Linked DNA regions of Diceros bicornis minor. The protein of the gene in region 2 purifies or fractionates together with the protein of the main gene of each other region. This does not show direct contact. Links are inferred from orthologs where the notes say so. Each region holds a gene or a part of one and is shown on either strand. Other genes may lie near its edges. The genes, in order: SON, SRPK3, FTSJ3 and CCDC86.

Evidence for each region.
Region 1: the proteins of SRPK3 (region 2) and SON purify together in Homo sapiens (affinity purification with mass spectrometry; 3 studies listed by BioGRID and IntAct, with this or other methods). This does not show direct contact. The link is inferred for Diceros bicornis minor from reciprocal best matches to the Homo sapiens genes SRPK3 and SON.
Region 3: the proteins of SRPK3 (region 2) and FTSJ3 purify together in Homo sapiens (affinity purification with mass spectrometry; 3 studies listed by BioGRID and IntAct, with this or other methods). This does not show direct contact. The link is inferred for Diceros bicornis minor from reciprocal best matches to the Homo sapiens genes SRPK3 and FTSJ3.
Region 4: the proteins of SRPK3 (region 2) and CCDC86 purify together in Homo sapiens (affinity purification with mass spectrometry; 3 studies listed by BioGRID and IntAct, with this or other methods). This does not show direct contact. The link is inferred for Diceros bicornis minor from reciprocal best matches to the Homo sapiens genes SRPK3 and CCDC86.

What each region holds. Positions count from the first base shown.
Region 1 is NC_080766.1:34,056,847-34,064,059, forward strand, and holds the start of SON (protein SON), read left to right. Parts: upstream 1-4,213; 5' UTR 4,214-4,298; coding exon 4,299-4,375; intron 4,376-7,213. Other genes in the region: GART (trifunctional purine biosynthetic protein adenosine-3), read right to left, coding at 426-570. UniProt on the Homo sapiens protein: RNA-binding protein that acts as a mRNA splicing cofactor by promoting efficient splicing of transcripts that possess weak splice sites.
Region 2 is NC_080781.1:137,846,411-137,854,294, forward strand, and holds the start of SRPK3 (SRSF protein kinase 3), read left to right. Parts: upstream 1-4,880; coding exon 4,881-4,927; intron 4,928-4,998; coding exon 4,999-5,129; intron 5,130-5,305; coding exon 5,306-5,414; intron 5,415-5,548; coding exon 5,549-5,636; intron 5,637-5,932; coding exon 5,933-6,020; intron 6,021-6,583; coding exon 6,584-6,690; intron 6,691-6,772; coding exon 6,773-6,938; intron 6,939-7,040; coding exon 7,041-7,066; intron 7,067-7,511; coding exon 7,512-7,641; intron 7,642-7,732; coding exon 7,733-7,884. Other genes in the region: PLXNB3 (plexin-B3), read left to right, coding at 1-315, 445-548, 636-729, 1,108-1,286, 1,472-1,632, 1,876-2,023, 2,241-2,305, 2,371-2,446 and 2 more. UniProt on the Homo sapiens protein: Serine/arginine-rich protein-specific kinase which specifically phosphorylates its substrates at serine residues located in regions rich in arginine/serine dipeptides, known as RS domains.
Region 3 is NC_080757.1:46,648,045-46,655,500, forward strand, and holds the start of FTSJ3 (pre-rRNA 2'-O-ribose RNA methyltransferase FTSJ3), read right to left. Parts: upstream 3,008-7,456; 5' UTR 2,832-3,007; intron 2,706-2,831; 5' UTR 2,680-2,705; coding exon 2,613-2,679; intron 2,446-2,612; coding exon 2,340-2,445; intron 2,062-2,339; coding exon 2,015-2,061; intron 1,893-2,014; coding exon 1,813-1,892; intron 1,385-1,812; coding exon 1,285-1,384; intron 1,187-1,284; coding exon 992-1,186; intron 912-991; coding exon 796-911; intron 682-795; coding exon 577-681; intron 490-576; coding exon 389-489; intron 162-388; coding exon 81-161; intron 1-80. Other genes in the region: PSMC5 (26S proteasome regulatory subunit 8), read left to right, coding at 3,268-3,291, 3,848-3,919, 5,172-5,241, 5,569-5,666, 5,833-5,889, 5,968-6,198, 6,491-6,617, 6,723-6,913 and 3 more.
Region 4 is NC_080770.1:12,563,603-12,571,219, reverse strand, and holds the start of CCDC86 (coiled-coil domain-containing protein 86), read left to right. Parts: upstream 1-4,617; 5' UTR 4,618-4,687; coding exon 4,688-5,349; intron 5,350-7,617.

The DNA.
Region 1 (7,213 bases), on a different chromosome or scaffold from region 2:
CACTGAAGAGTTTAATGTAGCATATGATCTGATCATTTTTTCATTTTTACCAGTGGAAGACATAAGGGTTGAGATCTATTATGGAGTTAGAATTGCCAGAACTTACATTTAATAGCACTGCTCAACTTCTCATTTCCAAAAATACCCATCAAAATGCCTTTTACCTCTATTAGACACTTGTGACTTTTCCAATGGATGTGTTTTATAAGGTTTAAAATAATTTAAGGTAAGGAGATGCCACACTCTGAACAACAGGATATCTAAAATTTACAACATATGCCAAGTATTCAAATTACCACACAAATTTTAAGGTTAGGAAAAGTATTCAAATCAGAATAGCAAGTGACCTTATAAAGAACAGATGTAGGTGACAATTTATCATTTACAATTATTAACTATTACTCCCCACTTTAAAACATAATTACCAGTATTTGACATCTTTTCGGAGGAGGCAGTGCCTGCATTTCCTGGAGCAACCAATACTTGTTTGACATGATTAGACTGAGCAAGTTTCCAGGCCAGCGTATGTTCCCTTCCTCCATTGCCAATTACAAGTACTCGAGCTGCCATTGCTGTCTGCAAAGCAGGAATTCAAAAGGAAAATGAAAGCTGCAGAAAGAAAAGCACAGTTGGTATTTCAGAATGCACATACTTCAGAAGTCACGATTTCTAAACATGATTTACGTAGTCATTTGTATTCATACAATGACATTTTATTCCAACAATTTATTTGTGAAAAATTAGGATTCATAATTTAAGAAATATGACTGTACTCATAATGATTAGGGAGGTATTTTAAAAATGAGGCAGATGGGCCTAGACAGCTAGGTTAAGGAATGCAACAGCGACTTAGCTCTTTACCTGTTAAAAAAAAAAATCTATGAATAATCACCCTTCCTTGGGCTTCTCCTTTAGAAGATTTAGTAATCATCAAGCCTCAGTTAAAAATGAATCTTGATGTTTTAAATTTAGACCCAAAACTTGAAATAACTTTTTTCGTGTGTGTGAGGAACATTGGCCCTGCGCTAACATCCATTGTCAATCTTCCTCTTTTTGCTTGAGGAGGATTGTCCCTGAGCTAACATCTGTGCCAATCTTCCTCTCTTTTGCATGTGGGATACTGCCACACCATGGCTTGATGAGCAGTGTGTAGCTCCGCGCCTGGGATCCAAACCAGCGAACCCTGGGCCACCGAAGCTGAACGCGCAAACTTAACCACTATGCCACCGGGCTGGCCCCGAAATAACTGTTTTTAAACCTTGAGATCGTATAGATAATAGACGTTAAAGTTATCATAAATTGGAGGCAATATTAAGACTGGGGGCTACAAAGTCAGATAGTAAATATTTTCACCTTTGAGGGCCATAATCTCTGTAACTACTACTGAACTCTGTCACTGTAGCACAAAAGCAGCCACAGCCAATACATAAATGGATGCTATGTCCAGTATACATAGGCAGTGGCCTGTAGGTCACAGTCTGCACTAAGCAATAGGAAGCTACCAGAGGTTTGTAAAGAATAAGCATGGCTGTGTTTCAAAAAAACTTTATTTATGGATACCGCAATTTGAATTTTGTATAATTTTCATGTGTCAAAAACATCATTCTTCCTTTTATTTTTTTTCCAATCATTTAATGATATAAAAATTATCATTATTTGGTGGGCTGTACCAAAACAGGCGGCAGGAAGGATGTGGCACTAGGGCCGTAGTTTGCTGACCCCTGATTTAAGAAATTAGTGCAATAAGTTAGAAAATTGGTAGAAAAGTCAAAAATCAAATCTGAACACATCTCACTTTAGTTCTGGCATATGATTCTGAGCAGGATGGGTGCAATAGCACTCTCTTTCAACTCAAGTGAGCAGTGTGACATTGAGTAAGCTTTTACTATCTGTAATTCAATTTCTTCACATCTTAAAAGATGGAAGTAAGAGAACTTGCCTTATGAGGCTACTTAAGATTAACTGAAATGACATTTATAAACAATTAGTGCAATTTCTGACACTCAGCAGCAGTAAACGCTAACTTGCTATATTTTATTTATTACTTTTACCTAAATTGATAGTACTCTACGGATAGAAAGAAGTTCTAACAGGAAAAAAAAAAAGCCAAAGTAATGAATAATTTGTCACATTAATTTACTAATTTTCAGAAGACATTTATGTAGAAGGCAAACTGATAACAGGAAAAAGAAGACTGAAATCAGTAACTTATGAGACGATAGGATTACCCATTTAAAGAAAAATCTAACCTGATAATATAAAAAACACTTTTTGAGCACTTACTTTGTGCCAGATGCTATTCTAAACTGTTTTCATGAATTACGTCACTTAATCTTTGTAAGAATCCTATGAGGTAGATACTATTACCATCTCCACTTTACAGATAAAGCGAGGTCCAGTAAAATTGCTAGAGGTCACTAGAGCCAGTAAGGGGTGGAGCCTGGATTCCAACGGATGCAGTTTTGCTTCAGATACCCTAACGATTGAGACGGTGATCACTGAAAATTTGAGGAGAGAAAAAAACCCTGCTAAATTACCCTCTCAGAGGGGGACAAGCTATTTTAGTTTAATGGAAAGCACAGACTTGACACGTGTATTAAAATATCTGAAATAAACATACCTTTGAACCTGGAGAAAATATTACGTTCAGTTGGAATACGAGGGGCAGGGAAGGGAAACTGTCCTGGTTAGTAAAGTGGATCACTGAAATAGCATTAGGACTCAGCTGGAAGGAATCTACCTCAGGAGCGGGGAGCAGGCCTTGTTTTGGGCCAAGACTCTGCCCCTTAAGCTAGGATACTTTGAGGGACTTAATTAACCTTCTTAGGCCTCTGTCACCTAAATGGGTAACATAACGAGAATGAGAGATCCAGGCAAAGCCATTTCAAAAGATTTGGTGAATGATATAAAGCAGAAACCAATTCCAAAAGTCGACGAAATAATCTGCTGGAGGCAGTGGGTGCATAACGAGAAAATACGCAATTGAGGTTTACGACCTAAAAAAAGCCTAAAGACACAAAAAGGTCCCGACATCTTAGAAAGCAGGGAAAGTGACAGAGCCAATGGAAACCTCAGTCCAAAGAAGTGAAAAGCACATGGTCACCCCCCACCACCCACGGCGTTTAAAAATAAGACAATCCCCACAGCCGAACAGTTCCTACAGTTTCATTCGATGCCTGGTATTAAAGCCCCCAACCAAAGCATAAATGGACTTAAAAGCGGAGGGGGTTACGCACCGACACAAGGCCGTCTCCAGGTTGCACTCACCCGCCTCGCCTGCCCGCGCCGGATGTCGGCCGAGCGGATGCGGGCCCGCGCCTCCCCGCCCGCCCCGCGGGGCTTCTCCTCCCCATTGGTCGGCGCGGCCCCTGGTTCCCGCTAAGACGGGGTTAAGTGGGACTCCCTCCCGCGCCGGGCGCGCCCTGAGCCTACTCCAGAGCAAGGCTATCAGACCCTGGCGCGTTTCTCTTGTAACACTAGAGGATCAGGCCCACGTAGCGTGTCTGTTCCTTCTCGGGAGCCTCCCAAGCTCAGAGGAGGGGCAGCGCCAAAATGCTAACTCCACGCTTAGCTGCTTGTGTTGCTAACGAGGCAGAACTGACCAGGCAGCGCGTACAAGTCTCGTGACACGCCTGGCGCCTGACGGGACTAGAATGCACCAGCCTCTGAATGCAGATGGCTCAGGACCTCCCGCCTATTGCTTAAAAAAGAAAAAAAGGAAATGAAGCCGATTATAGGATCCCCTGCGAGAGAGATGGGGTGAAAGCGTGTTCTTCGTATTTGCACCACAGTGGGGGCGGGCGCTGATTAATGCTTTTCCGGACGCATCTCCCTGCTGAAACTCAACTTGGCGCCACCCGGGAATGTTGGGGGGCCCGTATCAAACACCATGTTGCCCTTCTTGCTCCCTTTCCTGTTGACATTTAATCTCGGGCGTTCGGTGGCTAAAATAAGCCTCTTAAGTCCCCCAAACACCGTTGGGGACTGACACATTAAGCTCGCAGACTTCCCTCAACAGAGACTTCTCCTGTAATGGCGCCTGCGTCAGTCACTAACATGGCGGACACAGTCGTGCGCGGCGCAAACGTCAGCAGCTCTACCCCAGACGCTCAGAAACAGCGGAGGAGAGCGGAGCCGTCTTCACTGATTGGTTCAGCGGTGGAACGTGCCGGTCTGGGCGCTCTCCCAGGAGCCAATCAGGACGGCGAGAGACGGAATTGGCCTCTGCGCCTCCTCCCGAGGCATGCTGGGAGCCTGGAGGACTAGCGAGGAGGAGTTGAGAGAACGGAGCGGACGCCATGGCGACCAACATCGAGCAGATATTTAGGTCTTTCGTGGTCAGTAAATTCCGGGAAATTCAACAGGAACTTTCCAGGTAAACGTTTCCCAGACTCTTCTGCTCCCAAGGGACCGATAGGGCGCCGTGTAGCCTTCCATGGCACCTCTCTTTTGAGGCGCCGTCGTTCCTCGCCTCAGGCCCCGCTACAGCCCCGCCTGGGCCTGGGATCCATTTTCCGGGCCCTCCCCCCCCATCCGTTCGCTCCCTTCCCAGCCAGGAACTTCGCCCTTTCCCAGGGAACCCCAGACTCCCTCTTCTAGAACCGAGTTACGATGCTCGCCCTCCTCTCCGGTTTGGTCATCCCCTACCCTTTGGCTCCTCGGCGGCCTGGGTGTCCGCCGGGGACGGGCCTAGTTCCTGCCTCGGCTCCTCCTCCGCCGCCGCCGCGTCCCCCTCCCCCTCCCCGCCTCCGCGGCTCTCGCCGGCCGGTGCCTCTGACCGGAAAGGGTCTCTAACGGCTGTTTCTTGGGTAATCTTAAATCCGCTTTATTATTGCAAGCTGCAGATCATTTGGGGATCGGGATCCTTTAATTAGATTATTTGGGCCCTAGTGTCCAGTGGCTTCCACCAGGCCGCGTTCTAATAGCTTAGCAATTTAAAACGGCTCAGATTCACGTTAGCTACTTTGGCGAAATATTCCAGGCGGGGATGGAAGGGGACTTGGAATTACTAGTGATTTCTGAATTTACCAAGTGGAAAGCGGGGTTTGTGTGTAGGTCTCAGTTTTTTTTTTTTGCTACCCCTGCCCCAAGTGACATATTTGAGCAACACGTTTCTTTTGCCTTTGCTGTTAGAATTTACGTAGTTTATCCTCGATTCCCCAAATTTGAATGGGAAGAGATTTCCGAAGAAATAGTTGTTTCCTCAGTAGGGAGAATAGCGTGGATCATGTTGTCGTTCAGTGGTTGTCTTTTAGTATTTTTGCTTTGTATAATAACGTAACTGTTTGTTCCGAGTTCAAATGTTTTTGCTAGTTGTCTTTTAAAAGTTGAGAGCAAGAGCAATACGTGAATTTGAAAATCAGCCGAAAACGCAATTGTAAATTAAGCACTCAAATTAACATAGAGTTATTGGGGGCAATGATGTAGTATTGCTGGAATTATTATTCTTGCAGGATATATTGTTTTTTAACTGGAAGGTGTATCTCTTCACTCATTTCACTGCTTTAAAAATTTTTTTGTGCTAGTGATTTTAGGTTGATGAGAAAAGACCTGAGCTAAGGGAATATAATTTTCCTGAAAACTTTTTAATAGTTGCGTGCAATAAGTAGTTGTGTTTTTTTATTGTAATGCCTTGTTTTTATTCCTTTTAAGAATCAGTTTTTGTAATAGAAAATGAGTTTCATTGTAGAAAATTTAGAAAAAAGAGGAGAAAGAAAATAAAAATCCACCAATTAATTATATTGATGCTCTTTATGTCCTTTCGTTTTTTTCCTTTGCGTACAGTTGCATATACATGTTTTGAGAAATGTGATCGTGTTTTGTGTTGTTTTTTTTCACGTAATATACATATGGTGAACAAGTTTGTGTTCTATTACAGTCTTAGTAGTCTTTTGGGACTTTTTCATGGCTCTTTAGACTTCTATTGTAGGAACGTATTGATGGATAGTTAGATGGTTTGAAATTTTCATCCCTTTTCAGCAATTGAGGTAAACATTCTGATAGCTTTAAGAGGATAACTTTCTCATAGACTGGCCTTTTTAGTGAGGTAATTATGTATGTGTAAGTGCTTAAGAAAAGTGTAAAATGAAGAGTTCTGGAAAGAAAATCTAAAAAGGATATTAAAGCAATTTATTACTAGAGGAATGCTCAGCTTCTTAAATAATAGGTAATATGTTACCAGTCTGAAAACAAATTTTTGATTATTTGCCATTTCAGTGAGCTATATTTGCATTTTTTCCCACCTGTTTTTATATGTATCAGTTTGGGTAAGGAGACTTCCATTTAGATAGTTATCATATATAGATGGGGGTTAGGAATATGAGCTCTGGTTTTGAATACCAGTTTCACCTCTTAATAGATGTGACCTTCAGCTAGGTTTGTTGTCTCTGCCTCGTTTTCCTCGTTTATAAAATGAGAGTAATAATGATGATCTTAGAGTTTTGTTAGGATTAAATGAGTTATTAAAATGTAGAATTGGGTGACACTAATTAATGGTCCATAAATGTTCATTGTTATTATATGATTCATTATATTAGAAAACCAACTGTTCCTTAATAACATTTAGTTGAATACTGAATTTTTAAATTTTTTGACTGTTCAGGCTTTTATCAGGTATTGGAAGCATAAGTTTTTGTTAGCTGTGTCTGTTTTGTTAGCTAAAATTTAAGTTAAATTGTTGAAGTTATTTTTCAAAACAATTTTGTAAATGTAAGCAAAAATAGTAAGAATGACTGGGTAAATAAATGTCAAGATTGTTCTGGCTCTGTGAATTGAAAATATGTGAAGCCATTCATTCCTTTACTGTTAGTATAATGAATTGTCACTTGTTTTACATGAATTTTTTTTGAACACCAGGAATTTTTTTAATCCCAGGATTTTTGATAACTGGATAAAAATGTTTTTAAAGTTTATGGCATTTCAGTAACTTAAGTCTAAACCTGATCAGAGGCTGCAAGTTACCCTTTTTACTTAATGTGTTTGTGTTCCTTGATACTGATTATGATCCGTGCACAGGCGTGGCTTTATCGTGGCTATAGCTTCTCCCATAATGTTAGGTCATATATTTTTCTTTGGATTTGAGATGGCAATCTTAATTTTCCTTCCCTGAGATAAATATGCAGGTAACCTAAATCTAAATCAATTTAGGTTTCTGGGAGAATTTTATTAAAAAAAAAAAAAAAAGATGAGCTTATAAATTTGTTCAGAGACTTTT
Region 2 (7,884 bases):
AGCCGCTGTACATGCTCCTCCGGGCTATCCAGTACCAGGTGGACAAGGGGCCTGTGGACGCCGTGACGGGCAAGGCGAAACGGACCCTGAACAACAGCCGCCTGCTGCGGGAGGACGTGGAGTTCCGGCCCCTGACGCTAATGGTGCTGGTGGGCCCCGGGGCTGGCGGGGCCTCCGGGAGCAGCGCGGCACAGCGCGTGCCCGCCCGGGTCCTCGACACGGACACCATCACCCAGGTCAAGGAGAAGGTGTTGGACCAAGTCTACAAGGGCACCCCATTCTCCCAGAGGCCCTCAGTGCATGCCCTAGATCTTGGTAAGAGAGCCCGTCCCCTCCTCCCTGCCTGGGCCTGTTCCCACGTCTCCATGCTCAGCTCTGCCTTGCTCCAAATGGCGGACTTGGGGAACAGGCTCTGGGCTGATTGGCTTCCCTGGGTCCCTCCAGAGTGGCGCTCGGGCCTGGCTGGTCACCTAACCCTGTCAGACGAGGACCTGACCTCGGTGACCCAGAACCACTGGAAGAGACTCAACACTCTGCAGCACTACAAGGTGCCGGGTGGGCATGGGCCGGGGGGCGGGCCCCCGCCTCTGGATCAGCCAGGGGAGGAGCCCAGCCTCTCCTCCCCTCCCCGCCAGGTCCCGGATGGAGCCACAGTGGGGCTCATCCCCCAGGTGCACAATGGAGGTGCCATCTCCCAGAGCTTGGCCCAGAGCTGCCCCTCACGGGAGAGTGAGTCCTGCAGCCCAGACGCACTCATCTGTCCCCAGGACCTTGAGGCGAGCCGGCAGGAGTCCTGGGGATGCCATCTGCCTTGCCTGGTTCTCCCCACCACCTTGCCAGCGGGCAAGCCAAAGCTCCAGGCTGAGCCAAGGGCCTGGGGTGGATGAGGGCAGCGGTGTGTCCTGGTCAGGGAGCTCCAAGGTAGTGGGGTGTTGGGCTGAGCAAGTCCCTGGGCTGCCACCCTCCTCTCCACATCTCCCCTGCCCTACTTTCTCGGCTCCCCCCACCCTGCTCCACCCCACCAGGTGAGTGGGCTGGGCATCCTCAGCCAGTGGCGTGGGGTTGGGGGCAGAGGCATAGGACTGAGGTGGGCTTCTGTGCCCTCAGACATCCCCATGCCAGAGGACAGTGAGGAGGGTGGGGTCCGCCTCTGGCACCTGGTGAAAGCCACCGAGGAGCCAGAAGGGGCCAAGGTGCGGCGCAGCAGCCTGCGGGAGCGGGAACGGGAGCGGGCACGGGCCAAAGCCATTCCGGAGATCTACCTCACCCGATTGCTGTCCATGAAGGTCAGTGTGGTGGGGGAGCCAGGTGGCGGGGAAGGCTCACCAAGGGGGCCCCAACTGAGCTGCGGAGAGGGCATGGCCCTGAGAGGCAGAGGGGCGGCCCCACCCGCTGACAGAGCCTGGGGCTGGCCACCACCTCGAGGGCCCCACATCCTGCTCGTCACCCAGCCCCCTCCCCTGCCTTCCAGGGCACACTACAGAAGTTTGTGGATGACACATTCCAGGCCATCCTCAGCGTGAACCGGCCCGTGCCCATCGCTGTCAAGTACCTGTTTGACTTCCTGGATGAGCTGGCAGAGAAGCACGGCATTGAGGACCCGGAGACCTTGCACATCTGGAAGACTAATAGGTGCCTCGGCTGCTGCCCCTGCCCCCAAGCAGATGGGACATGGAGTCCCAGAGGGACAAGGACATTACCAGAGCGGGGGTGGCAGGCCCAGGACAGGAACCCAGGCTTTGCGGCACCCACCCTGGATTTCTGGCTGCCCCCAGCATGGGCTCACAGTACAGCTCCCCAGGGAATGGGGATCCTGGGCTGGGGCCCAGGCTGATGATGTGAGGCCCCATGCCCATGGACGGCCTGTGTCCCCAGCCTGTTGTTGCGGTTCTGGGTGAACACCCTGAAGAACCCACGGCTCATATTTGACGTGCGGGTGTCGGACAATGTGGATGCTATCCTCGCCGTCATCGCCCAGACCTTCATCGACTCTTGCACTGTCTCAGAGCATAAAGTGGGCCGGGTGAGAGCGGAGCTGGCTGGCGGCAGCCAGGGGGTTCAACAGGAAAGGGTGATGGGGAAACCATGGGGGCTCGATGCAGAGCAGGGTGGGGCTGGGGGATGGTGCCTAGTGGGAGCCAGGAGGTCAGGGGGATGGGGCCCTAGTGGCGCTGTCAGGGTGACAGGGCCGGAGCTCCACTCCCTCCCCGCTGACGCCCCACCCCCCCGACCCGGAGCAGGATTCCCCGGTGAACAAACTGCTCTACGCCCGGGAGATCCCCCGCTACAAGCAGATGGTAGAGAGGTAGGTGTTGGGGCATCACGGCTGGGGGTGGGGGCTGCCCGCGCTAACTGTGTCCCCTTCTCCAGATACTACTATGACATTCGCCAGAGCTCTGCGGCGAGCTACCAGGAGATGAACTCGGCACTGGCTGAGCTCTCTGGGGTGAGGCATGGTCCAAGGGGTACAATCCTCCACATTTAGGGGGCAGAGTGGAGAAGGGAGACCTGGGGCTTGAGGCCCAGGCTGGGGCCTCATCCCCCCATGTGCTGCCCCCAGAACTATGCCTCTGCTCCCCACTGCCTGGAAGCTCTACAAGAGCTCTACAAGCACATCCACAGGTATTACGACCAGGTGAGGCCCAGGGCACTCCAGGGGGGAGGGGCAGGCCCCCAGAGCCCAGAGGGAGGCCCCAGGAACCTCCCTGGGGGCAGGGCGGAAGGGGCTTGGCTTCCATCCGTATTCCTCAGGGAGGCCCAGGGCAGCCCCTACAGGATCCCCAGGCCAATGCTGAGACGGAAGCAGAGCTGGGGGGCCCTGGGCCAGTGAGCAGAGGGCTAAGGCCTCAAGCAGGGTGCCCTCCTCTGCCCTGGCAGATCATCAGCGCCCTGGAGGAGGACCCTGTGGGCCAGAAGATGCAGCTGGCCTGCCGCCTACAGCAGATCGCCGCCCTGGTGGAGAACAAGGTGACTGACCTGTGAGCTTGGGCCACAGCAGGTGCCAGAGGCCGCCAGCTTGGAGAGCAGCAAGCAGGACCCACCACCGCAGTGCCTTACGACCCCTGGATCAAGCCAGCACCAAGAAGGGGCCAGCAGGGGGGGCAAGGGGCACAGCCAGGTGCTGTGCCTGCCCGGGGGCTCCCTGCTGCCTCTTCCCTGCGCCTACGCACCCTTCCTTCCCCCACCTGGGCTTCTTTCTAATTTATAGCCATCCTTACCCCTTCCCCCCTCCCTCACTGTATTTATTTGCTTGCTAGAGAATCACATCTGGAAATAAAATAGAAATCTGTCTTTTTAGAAAAAGCCCCTGCCTTCCCCGGCGAGTCTACTAGGTGCTCCCTGCACGGCCTTCCCCTCGGCCCCATGGCTGTGGCTTCTGCTGCCTGAGGAAAAATGGGGTCATCAGGCACCCCCAGGCCTTGCTCTCCTCCCTCCACTTGCCTCCCCTGCCCCTGTCCTCCCGCCCCCATCTATGCCCACTCCACCCTACCAGTTCTTTCCTGGCACAGGGACACAGGGCTAAGTGTCTCCCACCTTAGGCTAACTACAGTCATCTCCACGCCCCCTCCTTTTCATTCTGACTCCCCAACAGCCCCCAGCCGGCCTCCCAACTCCACTCTTGCCCCCTCTATTCCCTCCTGGCAGCAGTCAAAGTGATCTTTCTAAAGAGCAAAAGTGCCCAGCAGCCTCTGCTGGAACCCACTAGAGCCCACAGGTGCCCCTTGGCCACCCGAGGCCTCCCTCCTTTCTCCCACAGGGGTCTCCAGCCCATCCTGCTGCCGCTTACCCACCCACCCCCTTTCTCGAGACCCGATTCTTCCTGGTCTCTCGTATGCAGCCCCAAGGTCACAGGCTCCAGAGGGCTTTCCCTGACCTGGATGTCCCTCTGTCACAGCTCGGTCGAGATGTGGGCTTGTTTGCTCTCCACTAGAGGAGGACCCCTGAGGGCACATGTTGGTGAAAACAGTGAGCAAGTCAGGGATCGCAGGCCTGGAGCAGAGAGGGAGCTGGGAGGGAGAGCACACAGACTCACCGTGGGAGTCCTGGATGGGCAGGTTCCCAGGCTTCCACTCAGGCCCGGCACCTGTGGTGGGAGGAATGCGTTGCCTTCAGCTCAGGCCTCTGACCCTCACCCAGCCAGGGCCCCCAGTGACACCACATTCAGGGAGAGGAGGGAACTGGGCTCCCATCTGTCTTAGGGGTCAAAGAGCCACAGGCAAAGTGGGAACCTGACTGAGAGTGGGCAGGGAACGGGGTACCCATAGGAATGGGAGGAATCACCTCAGGGAAGGCTCCCACAAAGGCCAAGCAGGAAGCCAGAGAATGTTCCAAAAGTGTCACTTGGTGCCCTATGGCACGTGGGGGGTGGGGTGGGGCTCTGCCTGAGTACCAGGTTGCCATGTCCACCATGTCCTTGCATGGCTGTCCCCCTCGGCAGGCTCTGGAGTGCGGGGACTCAGCATGGGGACCAGGTCACTGCCACATCTGCACTCAGTGGGCCCCTCTGCCAGCCCTGGGGTGCAGGGGCTTAGCCTGGGGAACGGGTGGCCACATCCCCACATGCCTGTCCCCCTTGGTCCTGGGATGCGGAGGGGGGCTCAGCGAGGAGGCCGGGTTGTGCTACGTCCCCGCGGTGGCCCCCTCTGCCAGCCCGGCGGGGGTGCGGGGGCTGGGGGTCTCGCCCTGGAGGCCGGGCTCTCCGGGCCGCCATCACCGCACCGCCCCCTCCCCGCCGCATACCTTGCCCACAGCCGAGCAGCTGGGAGGCTATTTATAAAGTCGGGTGAGATCAGCGGCCGAGGCTATAAATGCGCGGGCCGCGGCCAGGCCCCACAGGAGCAGCCGCCCGGGGCGCCGGAGCTGCGGGCCGCGCAGCCGGGATGAGCGCCAGCGCGGGCTGTGGCAGGGACAGCGGCAGCAGCAGCAGGTAGGGCTCGGCCCGGGTGCCCGGGGCCCCTGGCGTCTCGCGCACTCACTGCCCACCCACCCCGCCCGCAGCTCGCAAACCTCCTGCGGCCCCGAGTCCTCGGGCTCCGAACTAGCCCCTGCCACACCAGCACCACAGATGCTGCAGGGGCTGCTGGGCTCCGACGACGAGGAGCAGGAGGACCCCAAGGACTACTGCAAGGGTGAGGCCTGGCCTCAGGCACAGGCAGCCACGCAGCCTCCTCAGGGGCGCAGGACAGCCAGGGTGGAGGGTGCCGGAGCTGGCCCATATGGGCCAGGGGTCCAGCAGGGCCAGGCTGTCCTGGGGCATAGCGGAAGGCGACGTCCCCCGGCATGCTCTATTGGCTTCCTTCCCCAGGTGGCTACTACCCCGTGAAGATTGGCGACCTGTTCAATGGGCGGTACCACGTGGTGCGCAAGCTGGGCTGGGGCCACTTCTCCACCGTCTGGCTCTGCTGGGACATCCAGTGAGTGCCCCCTCTATCCCTCCGGGGCCCAGTGCCAGCTGGGATCCTGGCCCTGGACTTGGCTGGGGTCACCACAATGTCCCCTGCCGGGGTCTAGCCTGGGCTGGCAGCCGACACGGGTCTTGGTGTTGCAGGCGCAAGCGCTTCGTGGCCCTGAAAGTGGTGAAGAGCGCAGGGCATTACACAGAGACAGCTGTGGATGAGATCAAGCTCCTGAAATGTGTGAGGCGCCTCCCCTACCCGCTCCCAGCTCCCCGAGAGCTGCCTGGGGCCTGGCAATGTGGGTGCAAGGCCTGCCGGGGCTCCTGGGGCGGGGCTCCCAGAAGGGCTGGCTCCAGCTGGCTCTGCCCCCGTGGGAGGACCTGGAGGAGGAGGCGAGGGAGGGGCCGGCGGCCTTTCTTTCGGTAGGGCCCAGCCAGACAGGGAGAGAGGGCCATAGGTGCCACAGGGGCCGTTGAGGGGAGCAGTTGGTGAGGGACAGGTTGGAGCCATCTGTGGCCCCTTGGCTTTTGCTCCAGGTCCGAGACAGTGACCCCAGCGACCCCAAAAGAGAGACCATTGTCCAGCTCATTGATGACTTCAGGATTTCAGGAGTTAATGGAGTCCGTATCCTTTGTAGGCTGAGCAAAGCCGTGTGGCAGTGCACGGGCCCCTTGTGCCCTCCCAGCTACTGGGGCCTCAGTTTGCTGATCTGCACGATGGGGGTTTACCCCTTCCAGTGACACTAGTCTATGAAATACTCCCACCACTTTGGGGATGTGTTTATGTGGTGGGGAGTGGATTACCAGGTCAGCGTGGGTTACCCATGGGCGTTGCTGAGTTACCCCTAAATGGCAGGGGCCGCCTCTGTGGCAGGGCCTTCCCTCCATGGGGCTGCCCGGAGGCTCTTTGGCATACCTGGGCATAGGAGTGGGGCTGGCCTGAGAGGCCTCCCTGTCTGCTCCTCCAGTGCCCCCTCCCTAGGAGGACCAGAGAATGGAGCATCCCAGCTGGCACACCTGAGAGTGACAGGGACACTATAACGACACCAGGATGGTGGTGACTACCAGGACCACCCAGGCCCAGCTGTGCACTGCTCAAGCCTCATTGCTCCGCCACCCTAGCCAAGGGTGGGTGGGACTTGTGCCCCAGCTGTGTTTCCACTGGCTGCCCTTCACTCTTGGCCCCAGATGTGTGCATGGTGCTGGAGGTCCTGGGCCACCAGCTCCTCAAGTGGATCATCAAGTCCAACTACCAGGGCCTTCCCGTGCCCTGTGTGAAGAGCATTGTGAGGCAGGTGAGCATTCCGGGCCCTGGGTGAAGAGCACTGTGAGGCAGCTTGGTTGGGGCTGGTGGAGTTCAGGAGTGGCTCTCCCCAGGTGCTGCATGGCCTGGACTACCTCCATACCAAATGCAAGATCATTCACACGGATATCAAACCTGAGAACATCCTGCTGTGTGTGGGGGACGCCTACATCAGGCGCCTGGCTGCCGAGGCCACAGAGTGGCAGCAGTCAGGGGCACCGCCCCCATCCCGCTCCACAGGTACCAAGATCCTGTGTGTGGCTAGGATGGGTCCTGTGGGTCTCAGCCCTTGCCTAAGTCTCTGTTTCTTTCTCTCCCCCTGTGCTCCGCCTGCCCCTCCAGTCAGCACTGCCCCCCACGAGGTTTTGGTAAGTTGGGGCGCCCCTCGTTTCCTGCGCCTCATCTCCCCATCTCCTCGGAGCTCGCCTCCTCTGCCTCTCTGGTTCCACCCCCTCCCCAGCACTCTTGCAGTGGCACTTCCAAAAGGCTGTGTGGCCCGGAAGAGGGTGATACACAGGGTGGGTCACATGCCCCAAACTGCCCTTGGTGGCTGCTAGGCTTGCCACTGCCTCAGTGGTAGGACGCTGCCTCTAGGACTGGGAGGGGCCAGGGCTGCCGGCGCCCAGAGGAAGGCAGGCCTAGCAGCTCCTTTCCACCCTCGACCTTTGGGAAGTGGAGGGCAGGAGGGGAGACAGGAGGTGGGTGAGGGGCTGGAGGGGGTGGCACCGTGGGGCATGCGGGCCACGGGCAGAGGCTCGGGCTGCTCAGGGGATGGACAACAGGAACTCTGGGGTAACCTGGCTCTAATGGCAGACTGGAAAGCTGTCAAAAAACAAGAGAAAGAAAATGAGGCGCAAACGGAAACAGCAGAAGCGGCTGCTGGAAGAGCGGCTGCGGGACCTGCAGAGGCTGGAGGCCATGGAGGCGGCGGCCCAGGCCGAGGGTGAGGGGCCGGAGGGGGCGCCGGGCTGCCAAGCACGGAGCAGGGTCTGCAGGGGCGTCTGCTCACGTGCCGCCTCCACCCGTCTCCCCAGACTCTGGCTTGAGACTAGAGGGGGGCAGCGGCTCCACATCTTCTTCCGGCTGCCACCCCGGGGGGGCCAGGGCTGGCCCCTCCCCAGCCTCCTCCTCCCCCGCCCCGGGGGGCAACCGCAGCCTCAGCCCCAGCTCCCAGACCTCAGGCTTC
Region 3 (7,456 bases), on a different chromosome or scaffold from region 2:
TAACAAAACATTCCAAGGAATTTGTTTATTTTCCCAGACACCTCCCGTCAACACCTACTGTGGTTTAGTTTCCTCCTCACCTGATGTCCAGGGCCTTTGCTTGCTCTTTCAGCTTCTTGGCCACATATCGCCGAAGCTTCGTTCTCCAGTTCAGTAGGGACCTGACCCAGAAATACCATTACTGACCTTACTGGCTCCCTTTGTCCTTGCCCCTTCCTCTGTTTTAGGTCCAGATTTCACTCTTGAGCCACATAAACCCTAGGGCTCAGGCCTCCACCCCAAACCTCTAACAGCGGCATCCTGTTCCCAAAGATTCAACGTCATGGTCTTGAAAGGCCTTTCCCTGCCTTCAGAGTTCCTAGCACCTACACCTGCTCCCACCACATACCTAAGCTCCTTGCGCCCCAGCACTTTGATGTCCTGACAGCACACCCGTATGTCCTCAGTGGTAGCTGGATGCTGTGCCAACTCTTCATCATCTAGAGAGATCTGTTTGGGAGGAGGGAAAGGAGTCAGGAGAGATTCTCAGGCCATGTTTCTGGGGCTCTCTTACACCCCTCAAGTTTGAGGACTCACCTCACTGGCTTTGGAGAGGAAGTCAACAGGGTTGGCAGCTCGGAGGAAGTCAGTGACTGAGGTACGGTGATAGAGAGTGAGGTCGCCCTCAGCATAGCCCTCAGCCTTAGGGAGGGAGATGAAGGTTAAGCAGTCCCTTCTGGGGTGTCTGTACAACCCACCAGGCCCAGCCTCCCTATAGTTCCAAGACTTGAGGGTGGGCCCATTTCCCAAACACACCTTTGGCTTCTTCTTAGTGACCAACTCAGTAACAGTCTTGGCCTGAACTTCAACCTCCTTGAAGGCAAATTTGGGGTCAAAGAATTTACTGTCAACCTTGTCAGGAGCCAGGAATCCTAAGATGATAGAACATATAAGAAAATGTGCTTTGGTAGTTGTGAGATGAAGTCAAGAGAAAGAAAGAAGTGATGCCCACCCTGGCAGACTACAAAGATCTCTGCAGATTCATGGCGGGAGGCTTGGGGCTTGGTGGCCTGGACACGGCGGAACAGCTGCTGGAAGATCCATAGTAGGGGCTGATAGTCACGGGAACGGAAAACCTTTGTAATGAAGCAGCCACCACGGGCCAGAAAATCACAAGCCAAACGCAGAGCCATCAGTGTCAAATGGGCTGTGGGAGACAGAGAGTTAGCTGAAGACCTCTGCAGTCTGAGAGGGCATGCCCACCTCCACCTCCACCCTTATCTCCATGCCCCCCACTCCCAGCACCTTGTGAGTAAGCATCGTGGACCCAGCTAGCCCCAACATTGGGGGCTCCATCATTAAGCACTACATCAACTTTCCAGGTCTTCAGCTCCTTCCTCAGGGCCTACAGAGAAGACAAAGTATTACAGCAAGAGAAACACAAGAATGGCTATGAATGGAGTCCCTGGTTCAGCCATTTGTCCACCCAGCCATTTGTTGAGTGCCCACTCAACAAATCCTGTGTCTGGCACAAGGGATACAATAATAAACAAAAATAACACTTCCCTGTATTCACAGAGCTTACAGCCTACTAGTGAGCCCACTGGAAAGGATTTCACTGCAATCTCTGCACTTCCTCCAATTCCAAACACCTCATTCCTGACTAAATAAAGGGTGGAGTGGACACTAGGCATATCACAGGGCTTGGCATACAGACATCTTTTGCATGCACTGCTCAAGGCATGGTAAACAGCAAAAATCGTGCCTTCAGGGAACTTGGGGTGAGAAGAGGAACAGACATGGATGTGTGCATATTAAGGGAACAGAGATTACCTGCCTACAGCGTTCTGTTGTGATGTCTTCCTGGAGTGTCACCACATTGGGAAGAGGCTTGATTGGAACCAGGTCCACTCCTGGAAGAAATCAGATCAGAGTATTCCAAAAGGCTGACTCAAGCAGGGACGAAGGAAATGCAGAACACAGTACCTCATACTCTGAGCCCCTAAAACACCCAGGAGAGCCACCTGTCACTCACCCACAATAAGGCTGGATACAGGCATAAACTTGGCAGCCACCTGCAGCCTATAAAAGAGAAACAAAGATTAAAATACCCGGCACCGTCCCTTTTCCTCCCTTGGCAATGTGATCTCTCACCCCCAGTGTTAGGAGCCTCTATCAAGTGCAGTGGCCAGAGAATGTCACACATACACGTTCCAAATCTTTCCTCTGCAGTCTAAGTTCTGGAAAGTATAAAAATTTGAGGTGGTATTACTGTATCCCTGCCCCAGTGCAACTCAGTCATCCAAGGCCAGAACCCAGACAGCTGCCACCAGGGGCGACAGGTGCCAGGTGTTACGCACCATCCCCCTGGCGCAGCACACAGGTCCAGCAAGGCTCGGGCTTTCTGCAGGAACTGAAAGCGGCGATTCAGCTGGATCAGCTTGAAAGCAGAGCGGGAACGGTAACCTGGGGGCAGCGACAAAATAATCAAGTTCGCGAACGCTCTCCCAGCGGGATTTCTGGGGCCTCACAACCCACCAACTCTTCTGCGGAAAAGAAACTCATTTTCGAAAAGGGAGGTGAACCGCCGATGGTCGCTCGCTCGCTCGCAGACGGCGCGAACCCCGACTCACCGGTCTCCTTCGCCAAGTGATAGAACTTATCCCGCCGGCTCTTCCCGATTTTGCCCTTTTTGCCCATGGTGGAAACGGGGAGTGTCACTCAGTCTGGGGAGAAAGTAGAACTTGGAACGTCTTTTTCCCGGAGCTCTACATTCCGCTTTCCGTTTCCCACTTGCCGTAGCAACCATACTCTGCGCCTTGCTCCACACCACTCAACCCTGCACCACTCACCTCCACCCAGCGCCGTTTTCAACCTCGTTGGAGCCGCACATGTAGGCAGCAAACGTACTTCCGCTTCTGCTTGCGCCGCTTGCGTCCCTGGCTCCAAGTTTTCCGCCATTTTGAGTGTGGCCATATAATTTTTTCTGTAACTACTCTCTCCCCAGGTCTTAAAAGCTGGAAATTGGGAAAACGAGAGAAGATTACCTGAACTAAAACAGAGTTTCTAGGGAGTAACATTTAGGAGTTCTGTGCCCTTTTCATCACCTTCCAATTCTCCTGACCGCGGGAAGCCCCTCCCATCACGGCCCCAGTTGTTATCGTCTCTCTGCACACTCCGCCCATTGACCCGGAACTCTTCTCCCGCGTCTGCGGTCTCCAAGCCCCTGCTTCTGCGCCTGCGCGCCAAGGCGGTTTGGCTGCCGGCGGTCTTCGCGGAAGAAAGAAGATGGCGCTTGACGGACCGGAGCAGGTATGGCGGCGGCGGCGGTCGGGCGGGGACCAGGGCTGGATGCGGAGCAGGCTGGATACGAGGTGGGCAGCGGGCCTGGGCAGGAGGGTCAGGTGGGTCGGGAGTGGGTGGACCAGTCCAGACGGGGCCCTGCCTGTGACCGGATCTGCTGTGTCAGCGCCGCCCCCAGTGGGTCAGGGCAGGGACGGGAGTGGAAGACACGGTGGAAGCGGAGTGAGTGAGAGGAGCGATGGGAGTGGGAACCGGCCCGGCCGCGAGTCGCAGGAAACGGAGCGCCCGTCCCTCTGCCTGGCTCCGCTTGTAGTAATAGTACTTCGAGTTTGTACGGCGCTTGATTCGGTACAAAGCGCTTCTGCTCTCTTGATTCTCCCGAAAGTCTTATGAGGTAGGCAGCATTCTCATTCTGTTTTTAGTTTAGTCATGGGGAAATGGAGGGTTCTGAAGAGATGGCGTGAGGGATTAGAACCCAGATCTTAAACCTCCAGAGTCCAAGCTGGAAGTGTCTTTATTCCTTGGATGTTTAGCCTGTTGTTTAGTAATTACTCTGTGTCTTCAGATGGAGCTGGAAGAGGGGAAGGCAGGCAGTGGACTCCGCCAGTATTATCTGTCCAAGATTGAAGAACTCCAGGTGAGGACAGACTCCAGAGGTCCAGAGGGAGCTAGAAGGGGGATGAAGGATTGATGGAGCAGATTTCTACAAATCCATCTAATTCCACTGGGGGCGCAGCGAAAGAAGTAACAAGCCAACGATATAAAGTATCTGAATTTGTCTCTTGTTCCCCTCAAATCCCACCCCTTTGAAGGTAATCAGTATTCACAGTTTGTTACACATCTTCAAGAGTCACATTTTAACAGAAAAGGTACCGCTAGCCAAAGGCCATTCCTTTTGGAAGAAGCCTGAATGGGAGGGTTCCTTATAAAAGGGAAGACAGATTCCGGAGATGAGATTTATCAGAGAGGGGTTGGGGCAGAGTGAGAGTGTGAGGAAAGATGGAATTGAGGAGTCTGGACAATGCTGATTCCATGGGACTGAATGAAAAGGAATTGGGCTACCCGGTGCTCTAGCCTAAAGAGGGAGCAGGGACCATAGAGATAAGGAAAATAACTAATTGGATGGAGGAAAGCCACAAGGAAAGTTTTTGAACTCTAGTTAACATTGGAGGTGTTATGTTTGGTTTATCATTTGTGAAATGCTTTTATGTGTTATTTCGTTTGTTCCTCATGGTAGTCCTGAAGAGAGGCAGGGTAGGTGATGCTATATTTACTTGTAGTTCGGTAACAGATCTAGACCTTTTAAGATTTTATTTATTTATTTCCCCCCAAAGCCCCAGTAGATAGTTGTATGTCATAGCTGCACATCCTTCCAGTTGATGTATGTGGGACGCGGCCTCAGCATGGCTGGAGAAGCGGCGCGTTGGTGCGCGCCCGGGATCCGAACCCCGGGCCGCCAGCAGCGGAGCGCGCGCACCTAACCGCTAAGCCACGGGGCCGGCCTGGATCTAGACCTTTTAAATGGCTTTCTTGAGCTTTACCTAGCTGTTAATTGGCAGCAGTGGGGCTAGAACTGAGGAGTATCTTCCCACTCTCCCATGTTAATGCCCTGCAAGAAATTGACTGCCTGAGCCAGCTGTAACTTTTCTCCATTAGGGCTTGTGATTCCTGGACCAGTGTTAGACCAGCAGCCTTTTTTGGTGGCTGCCCTAGGTTCCAGAGGGATTCTTGGAGGACAGGAAGGGTCATTAGGATCATATTGGAAAATCTGAAACAACATGCAGGTGCCCTGTGCTCTTCCCTCACTCAGCTCATAGCAGCCTATGAGGGTCTTGGCCAAGATCTTAACCTTGGACTATTTTCTGCCCTTTGTTTGTTGTCCTCCACAGCTAATTGTGAATGACAAGAGCCAAAATCTCCGGAGGCTGCAGGCACAGAGGAATGAGCTTAATGCAAAAGGTGAGAGTGGAAGGATGGGAAGGCTGCATGTGGGCAGTTTGTCTGAGGTCTGACTGTTCAGATCTCCCTGAAGTGAGTCTTCACATTGGTACTTATTGTTTTCTCCCAGTCCAAGGTGATACTTTGCACTGTTATACAGTTGTGCACATGCACATCTCTTTCTTGAGCCCCACTGTAATCTCCTTAAAGACATGAATTTTTACTTTCTTTTTGTGGCCTTCCCTTCAAAACTTTAAAATGGGGCTTAGTTCATGCATATCGAATTGAGTCGCGGGGGAGAGGAATACTAAAAAAGCTGGGTGACCACTATGTCTGTTTCGCATCTAGTTCGCCTGTTGCGGGAGGAGCTACAGCTGCTGCAGGAACAGGGCTCCTATGTGGGGGAAGTCGTCCGGGCCATGGATAAGAAGAAAGTGTTGGTTAAGGTAAAGGCAGCATGACTCCAGGGACCAGCCCATTGCCTACTGTATTTCCATAGCTTTGTGTGGAGGACACTGTTCTGTCATGTTATTCGAGGACTCATGGGTCTTCCTGGGTGAGGTTGGTGATTTGGTGGCTGTCAGGGAAAGTCACGACCCCTTGTGTCTTTAGGTACATCCTGAGGGCAAGTTTGTTGTGGACGTGGACAAGAACATTGACATCAATGATGTGAGTGCAGCAGGTGAGGTGGGAGGCTGGGGTCAGCACTCACCACACCACTTCCTGAAATCATCTCCCCTCGCCCAGGTGACACCCAACTGCCGAGTGGCTCTAAGAAATGACAGCTACACTCTGCACAAGATCCTGCCCAATAAGGTGGACCCACTGGTTTCATTGATGATGGTGGAGAAAGTGCCAGATTCAACTTACGAGATGATTGGTGGACTGGATAAGCAGATCAAGGAGATCAAAGAAGTGATCGAGCTGCCTGTTAAGCATCCTGAGCTCTTTGAAGCGCTGGGCATTGCACAACCCAAGGTGAGAAGCAGGGCCTCTGTGGGAGGGCTGTACTGTATACTTCCTGTCCCAGGCCAGACTGAGCACAGGGGTTGAGACAGACTACAGCCTACTTGAGCTGACCCTCCCCTCTAAAGAGGGGTTAGGGGAGAGATGTTGCCAGGGCACTGAGGTAGTTCAGATACAAGCTCCAGAAGGGACCGTAACATTCATTTTTTGTATCTCTAGCATCTAACATGGCATCTAGCACAGAGCAAGCCTTCAGTAATGAGGGGGCTGGCTTTCTGCCCTGAGTCCTGCTGTTTCTCTTTAGGGAGTGCTGCTGTATGGACCCCCAGGCACTGGGAAGACACTGCTGGCCCGGGCTGTGGCTCATCATACAGACTGTACCTTTATTCGTGTCTCTGGCTCTGAATTGGTACAGAAATTCATTGGGGAAGGTAAATCATGTGGCTAGAAACATGAAAACCAAGTGGAAGTGAAGGGGTGGAGGTGAAGGGTTGGGAGCTCATCAACTCCTTAATGCCAGCTTGGCCTCTGCACAGGGGCAAGAATGGTGAGGGAGCTGTTTGTCATGGCACGAGAACACGCTCCATCCATCATCTTCATGGACGAAATTGACTCCATTGGCTCCTCACGACTGGAGGGGGGTTCTGGAGGGGACAGTGAAGTACAGCGCACAATGCTGGAGCTGCTCAACCAGCTGGATGGCTTTGAGGCCACCAAGAATATCAAGGTATGGTGGCGTCTTAGGATGAGCCAAGGGAAGGGCCTGGGTGACCTGCAGCCTGAGGAAGGGCCTAGCTGATGCCACCCCCTTTCTCCACTCAGGTTATCATGGCTACTAATAGGATTGATATCCTGGACTCGGCGCTGCTTCGCCCAGGGCGCATCGACAGAAAAATTGAATTCCCACCCCCCAATGAGGAGGTTTGTGATGGGCAAGTGCTGGGAGTGGCTCTGGCTATGGGGGTAAGCTTTGGGGCTCAAACCCTTCCTCTCCCATCGCTAGGCCCGGCTGGACATTTTGAAGATCCATTCTCGGAAAATGAACCTGACTCGGGGGATCAACCTAAGAAAAATTGCTGAGCTCATGCCAGGAGCATCAGGGGCTGAAGTGAAGGTAATTGGAGTGCCCAAGGGAAAGGGGGCAGAAGCAGGAAGCTCTGGGTTCAAAGGCACAGCAATAGCGCCTGTCTTCCTTTCCCTTCTCAGGGCGTGTGCACTGAGGCTGGCATGTATGCCCTGCGGGAGCGGCGAGTCCATGTCACCCAGGAGG
Region 4 (7,617 bases), on a different chromosome or scaffold from region 2:
AGGACCTGATCTGAGGTACCTAGAAGCAGCTGTGCACACACACATAGGAGGAATGGGGAGCCAATATTGAAAGAGGAGAGCGGGGTTGCCGGAGAGGTCAAAAAAAAGGCAGTAAGGCTAAATGACAGATCCTGTTCTTGTCCAGAAAAGCCAACAGCTCATGTCCAGGATCGGGGAACAGCAGCTGGAACCAGACGGAGGGCTTCAAGTGGTGGCTCACCCTTGGGAAGAGGATGGGGACCTGGCCACACTGATAGGAATCGTGGAGAAGGGAGGTGACAAATCTACTCGGCTCTCCATGGGGCAGTCAACCCTGGCTGCCTGAGGGAGCTCTGGGCACCACTTTCTGGAAGGCTCATCAAGAACTGATGTCTTTTCCAAAAAGTTACCATGTTGTCATGGGAGGGACAGCTGAAGGAGCAGATGTTCGGCCTGGATAAAAGACAATTCTGGGGAAGCTACAAGAAAATTGTGTTCAAATACTTAAGAGACCTCAGCATGGAAGAAAGGGCAGCCTGGAACATGTGGCCCAATGAAGAACAGCCATGCTCAGCCCCAGCCCAGTGACAACTCTGCCTCGTCGGGGTCCTGCTCTCTCTCCAGCCACACTCAGCAACATCCCATTTACCAGATGCACCCCCCAGACTGAGGAAGTCCTTACACATCCTCAGCCCCCATCTCCCAATCCTGGGCCTGCCGGACGTGAGAGTGAGGGCTCGGGTTTGGAGCAGGGAAGTCCCAAGTTCCAGTTCTGTCCTTGTACCTTGCACCCTCTCCTTGTGTCACCCTGTCCCAAATCACAACCTCTCTCGGCATTGGATTTCCTTGTCGGTAAACTGGGGATGTTCATCCCTGCCCTGGAGGGTTGTAATGAGCATCCTTCCACTCACTCAGCAAATGCTTATCCAGCAGGGTGCTGGTGCAGGCAATCACATTCCTGCATTGATGCTCCAGGGGGTTAAACGAGCAACCAGGAGAGGCCCAGCACTTAGGAAGGGCTCAGTTAGTGCTGATAGTGGCTGGCAGGACCCGCCCATCTCCGATCTTTGTGCTGAGCAGAGGACCGCGGGATACAGGCCCCCAACACCTTGGACTGTCAAACCCTCTCACATCAGCACCCTTGGCTGCATGGAGGACGGATGGCTCAGAGAAGAATACCCGATCCCTATCTTCAGTCCTCTGTGGTGCATGGTTTCCTTCAGTCAGCAGATCTCAGTTGCATAAATAAGCTGAGGATTGCCCATTCAGCACACTCTGCCCTATGTGTATGCACACAGAGCCACAGCCAGTCCTCGGGGTGAGGTGGCACCCAGCCCCTCCCAATGCACAGACCAGTATCAGTGTGAGGAACAAGCGAGCAAGGCCCACATAAGGGGCAGTTTTAAGGCAGCTAAGCATGTCAGCTCTGGAACTGTAATCCTGGCCCTTCAATGTGTCACTGTGTGACCTTGGGCAAGCACCTTAGCCTTTCTGTGCCTCGGCTTCCTTACCTGGATAACAGAGACATTTACTCTTAAGAGTTGTAGTCCTGGGCCGGCCCCATGGCTTAGCGGTTAAGTGCTTGTGCTCCGCTACTGGCGGCCCGGGTTCGGATCCCAGGCGCACACCAACGCACCGCTTCTCCAGCCATGCTGAGGCGACGTCCCACATACAGCAACTAGAAGGATGTGCAACTATGACATACAACTATCTACCGGGGCTTTGGGGAAAAAAAGGAGGAGGATTGGCAATAGATGTTAGCTCAGAGCCGGTCTTCCTCAGCAAAAAGAGGAGGATTAGCATGGATGTTAGCTCAGGGCTGATCTTCCTCACAAAAAAAAAAAAAAATGAGTTGTAGTCCAGCGGTCAGACAGCCTCGGTATGGATCCCACCTCCACCACTTATTTGCTGTGTGACTTTTACAAGTGTCCCAGCCTCTCTGTGCCTCAGTTTCTTTATCTGTGAAAGGGGAGTCATAACAACAGCACCTGCCTCACAGGGTTGTTGTGAGGATTAGATGGGTTTGTACGTCCAGAGCTCTTGAAAGAAGGCCTGGCCCAATAACTGCTCGCCCCACTGGTTTAGGCTGGGTTCCTCCAGAGCTGACTCTGAGACAAGGATTTTAGTGCAAATAGTCTGTTCAGAGAATGCCCCAGAAGCACCCACAAGGAGTGGGAAAGTGAGGCAGGCACAGGGAAAGAAAGAGAGTGCATGAATGATCAGGTGACCTTCATAGACAACTGGGGCTCAGTCCTACCGGGGGTCTTGGAGGGATGCTAGAGACTCCCTTGGCATCCTCCCACCCAAGGGCAAAGAGTCCAGGATGGCTACAGCAGAAAGCAAAGGCGTATAAGGGAACAGAGTCCCAACAGTGACTGCCACACTGGGCTTTTCTGAAAAATTCAGGAGTCTCCCCTAGGCCTCTGCACACTGTTTATAGTGACAATGACAACTGAGCTTAGGAGGGAGTGGAGGGTTCCAGGCCAAGTTCACGTGATGCCACGTTGATTAAGGGTCTCCACGCCTGATTTGAGGGATGTCTGTAAGACGTCTCCCTCTCTCACACCACCCTGGCAGGTACCTGAGATTACCCTCTGAAGCATTTTAAGTAAGGCCAGGATTTAACCCAACTGGCCTTTGAGAGCAATCCCTCCAGCTGAGGGAGAACGGGAGTTCAGGAAGCAGGGAGCCGAGGAGACCCGGAGCAGGGCAGTGGCAGTGGGGTGGCGTACAGTCTCCTCCAGCGTGGCACGGTTCTAAGTGGCAGGCCATTGGAGTCTCCAGGCAGGGGCAGGGAATTTAAGGAACCGAGGGCTGGAAAGCTGGGCAAGGAGGAGTCTGAGCCGCTTCTGCAGTGGGGAGCTGCTCTGCTGGGCAGAAGACTGAGACGAAACCTCAGTGCAGGGCCTTCCTTGGCCCAGGAACATGAGAGCGCTGATCCTGCGGGTGGAGCCTCTGAGAGGGGCCAGGAAGGCAGGGACTGATATATGATTTCAGCACAATTATTTTGGACGACACGGAGGTCCAGTGGAGAAGACGTGCCATCGTCTTACCCTGAGGGAGGTGATTTCACAGGCTAAAGTTATCAGGATGCATTTTGGATGCTGTGTGGCACCAGCCAAGGAGGGAGAGGCATTAAGGCATTCTCAATCCACTTTTCCACCCTCCAGGAAGCTTTCTCTGGTTTTGCCCCCTCCTTGATCAGCAATCAAGACAAGCAGGACCGGGCCGGCCCCGTGGCTTAGTGGTTAACTGCGCGCGCTCCGCTACTGGCGGCCCGGGTTCGGATCCGGGCGCGCAGCGACGCACCGCTTCTCCGGCCATGCTGAGGCCGCGTCCCACATACAGCAACTAGAAGGATGTGCAACTATGACGTACAACTATCTACTGGGGCTTTGAGGGGGAAGAAAAAAAAGGAGGAGGATTGGCAACAGATGTTAGCTCAGAGGCGGTCCTCCTCAGTAAAATGAGGAGGATTAGCACGGATGTTAGCTCAGGGCTGATCTTCCCCACAAAAAAAAAAAAAAAGACACGCAGGACCTCATTTGACACTTACTCCTGCTCCACTGTCGGCAGAGTGACTCAGCAGCTGGAGGTTGTGCTCAGCAACCAGGCCCTGGCCGTCCTCCTCTGCCCCCTGATCACCCGTGGACAACTTCCCAGGCCCTCCCACAACCACTCAGCTGAAGAAACAAAGGTTTCTAAAAGAAGCCACTGAGACAGCCAGACAGGGACCTTAGATCCCTGAGGGCCAATGCCCAAAAATAACACTGGAGAAGAGCTGGATGTAGTTGGGCAACTTCCAAGATGCTCTTCCTAAGAAAGTCTCGTGCTGTGAGTGACTCAAAGCCCGCTCCTGGGTCTCACGCAAAGGAGGGGAGGAGGCAGGTTCACACACTGGGGCAAAGACGGCTGCCTTGGCTGAAAGGAAGCTCAGAGACAATCCAATCCCTGTGTCTAGAAATGGGGCAGAAGGGGGACCTGAGAGGGTATGCAGCATGGCTGAGGGCCCAGGTGTGCCACAGAACAAAAGGGGTGCATCTTACGGGTACCTCAACTTCAGGCATCAATGCTGAAAATGTTGCAAAGGGAGAGCCATAGACTTGATACTTAGGCACAGAATGGGAGAAGAAAAGGATGTGCAAACTTATATAATGCAAGACTTAAGTGATTTCCCATCTCCAGGATCCGCCAAGTAACATTCACTCTGGCAGCAGAATCATTTTAGATACACTAAACTAATGCAAATCACCCATATTACAGATGAAAAAACTGAGTCCCAAAGAGGGTGGGATCCCAGCCCAACTGCACAGGCGATGGGAGCAAAGTTTCCATCCAGCCTTGCCTACGGGCTCCCTGGATCTTTTTCCAATCTTTTTCTCTCCCGGAAATGGGTCCCCCTTCCCTTCTCTGCCTGCACACTGTGTTTTCCCTGAGAGCCTGTGTTTGCAGATAGGCCAAGCGCGGATTTCAAGCTAAGACTTGCTCATCAATCAAAGGAATGCGCCCAAGCGCTTTGCGCATGCGCCTAGTAAGCCCAGCCCCTTCGGGCCGCCAACCCCGCCTCTCCGCCCGTCACCAACATGGCCTCCCAGGCAACAGCTCCTCGTGCCCAGCACAGACGTGGCGGCTCCTGACGTCATACGCCGGCGCCGGTTGTCCCAGAGGGTGCACGTGGGCTCGGGTTTGGGAACTTGCTGGCTGGGGCATGGATACCCCGCTGAGACGCAGCCGGCGGCTGGAAGGCCTAAAACCCGAGTCCCCCGAGAGTCCCACTTCAGTGTTGCGGGCGAGACGGGCCCTTGTGGAGTTCGAGTCGAACCCAGAGGAAACGAGGGAGCCCGGCTCTCCTCGGAGTGTGCGGCCACCTGGCCTGGGGTCCCCCCGGCGTCAGCAAGATCCAGGCCTGGTGTCGCCCCCAAGACAGCCGGATTCGAGTCCAGAATCCCCCCGACTACAGCGAAAGCCAAGTGGGGAGTCGCCAAAGTGCTCCCAGGGCCAAGAAGAACCGGACTCGGAGTTGGCCCAGAGGAAGGAGGAGCTGGCCCCGGGGTCCCCCCGACATCAGCTGCAGCCGGGCCCAGGATCTTCAGAGCCTTACCCCGGTCAGCCAGCGCCGGGTCCGGAGCCCTCGCCGCCGCTACAGGAGCTGACACCCCCGTCACCTGGCTTCCCCCGGGGTCAGCGCGAGCCGAGCAAGCCACCTGCGGCCGGGGAGCCGGGGAGAGACGGCCTCGGGCCAAAGAAGCGAAAAGGTTCTCCAGCCCGGGCCCCAGCGTCCAAGAAGTTGAAGGAGGAGAATGAGGTTCCCCTGATCCCGAAGGGAAAGCCCAAGTCGGGGCGGGTGTGGAAGGACCGCTCCAAGAAGAGGTGAAGTGGGGAACAGCTGGGCAGGGCTGGGGTGCGACCTGGAGACAGCCCCTGGGTTGGAGAGGGAGTTGGACACAAACAGGTCATTATAATCAGAAGGTGGTAAAATGCCTGGGACCCAGGGAAGGTGAGACCAGGCCCTCAAAGGTTATTTCTGTGATGCTTTTCCTCCTCAGGTTCCCTGTGGACCTCTCCTGTAGCATCTCCTTTGTGTATTCATTCAACAGACATTTCCCCTGGCCTGCCCTCTCTCTAGAGAGGGAGGCAGAAGCAAGTAAGCCAGGCAGTACTTGATAAAAAGCAGTGCGGTCTTCACCCACTGTTATCTGTTACAGTTATTTGCATTTGTGATAAAAAGTATTCCTGAGCGCTGAGTATATAGGACACTTTAGTAAGAGTTTAGTAAGGATTGGCCCCGGGAAGGGCCTTTCAGACAGAGGGACCAGCACGCATTGAAGCCGCATATCAGCCCTATGGGGCAGCAGGTGTTAGGATTTTCCTCAGTTTACATATGAGGAAACTGAGGCTCTGCAGAGGAACCGGGGGTGAACAGACTGTGGGAGGGCAGGGGTGAAAGCAGAGAGCCTGCAGGAGAATTAAAACACCTTCAGAGCTGCAGGCAGGCCTTGTGGCTAAGGGCCAAAGGGCCATGGAATTATGTTTGGGATCTTTGAGGAAGCAGCTTCGGTGGGTGGTGAGTGAGTCCAGAGGTGGCGAAGGCAGCTCGTGTTGCAAAAAGTGGCCCAGCAAAGGGGGGATATGGAGGGAGGCGGTCCCGGCTGGGAAGCTGCAGCCCCACCTTCCATGCTCATGCCAAATGCCACCTTCTGCACAGTGCTGCATGGGTGTGCTGTCTGCCTTCTCTGAAGGGTGGCCTTTATTGAGCACCTACCGTGTGCAGAGCTCTGTCCTAAGTGCTTCTTGAGTCTTGTCTAGATTAATCTTCCCACCACCCTTTGGAATGGGCATGATTCTCGTCTCCATTGAACACGGGAAGGTGCTGAGACCCAGAGCAGCTGGGTCTCCAGGTAAGACTGATGCCATGGAACTGCCCCAATATTTTAGCTGTCAGCCACATGTGGCTATTTCAATTTAAACTGATGAAAATTAAATAAAGTTCAAAATTCTTTTCCTCGGTCACGCCAGCCACATTTCAGGTGCTCAACAGCCAGTGTGAGGAGTGGCTACCTTATTGGACGGCGTAGATATAGAGCATTTCCCCCATTACAGAAAGTTCTGCTCAGCAGCACTGCTCTAGAAAGATGCAGGATGTGACCTGTAGTGCGGTGTGTGCCCAGGTCCCCACTGCCTTGTCCCTTCTGGGTTGTCATACCCCAGTTTGGGGTAGGAAAATTCTTCTGTGCTCAGAAGACCAGGTTTCAGCAGCGAGCTCTTGGAGAGGGGGAGAAGGAGCAGGGGGTGGTGTGCTGGGGTCAGAGGCAGGCAGAGTCGGAGAAGGGGGCGGGCAGAGTCAGGCTGAACATGGACGGGTCTGGGGTCAGGGTCCGGGCTGTGTGTGCTAGACTCCTGTGGAGCAAGAAGCGGGGAAAACGGCCCAGAAGACTCTCCTCCATAGACAGGAGGGGGCTGTGCCCTGCGCGCAACAGCCTTCAGAGGCTGGGGTGGGACTGGCTGACCTACTCTGGCAGTTTGGGGCACAATATAATGGACATGGATGAACAGGAGCTCTCAGAAGTCAAGAAATTGGTGGGGGAGGTGGAGAGGCCACTATGAGAGGATCTGCTAAGGAGAAAAGGCCCGTGGGACACCTGAACAGGCTTCAAATCGTTCCAGGAGAAAGACCTTACAGAAAAGGGGAGAGCATGGTTTCATGAACCCCCCATGTCCTCATCACCAGCTTTACCAGTTCTCAACATTTTACTCGTGTAGCGTCATCTTGCTCCTCGACACTTTTTTCTTCTTTTTTTTTTTTTTCCTGGAATATTTTACAGCACATCCTAAATATGTCATTCCACCCATAAATCCTTGTGGGATGCATTCTTACACAGATAGTCTCGCTTCCCCTATGACTATAGTGTCACTGTCACTCTTAAGAAAGTCAAGGCTTCCCTAATATCCCCGAATGCCTACTCTATTTTCACACCCTCCCCTGATTCATCACAGAGAACTGTGACCATTCACGCTGTTCTGAAATGGAACGGGCCACCTCCGTAGGCAGGGAGCCCCATCTCCAGAGGTGTTCATGCCCAGGGCAACTGCACTTGGCAGAAGCAGCAGAACTTTACAGCAGAGGCCGTGTGCCTGGAC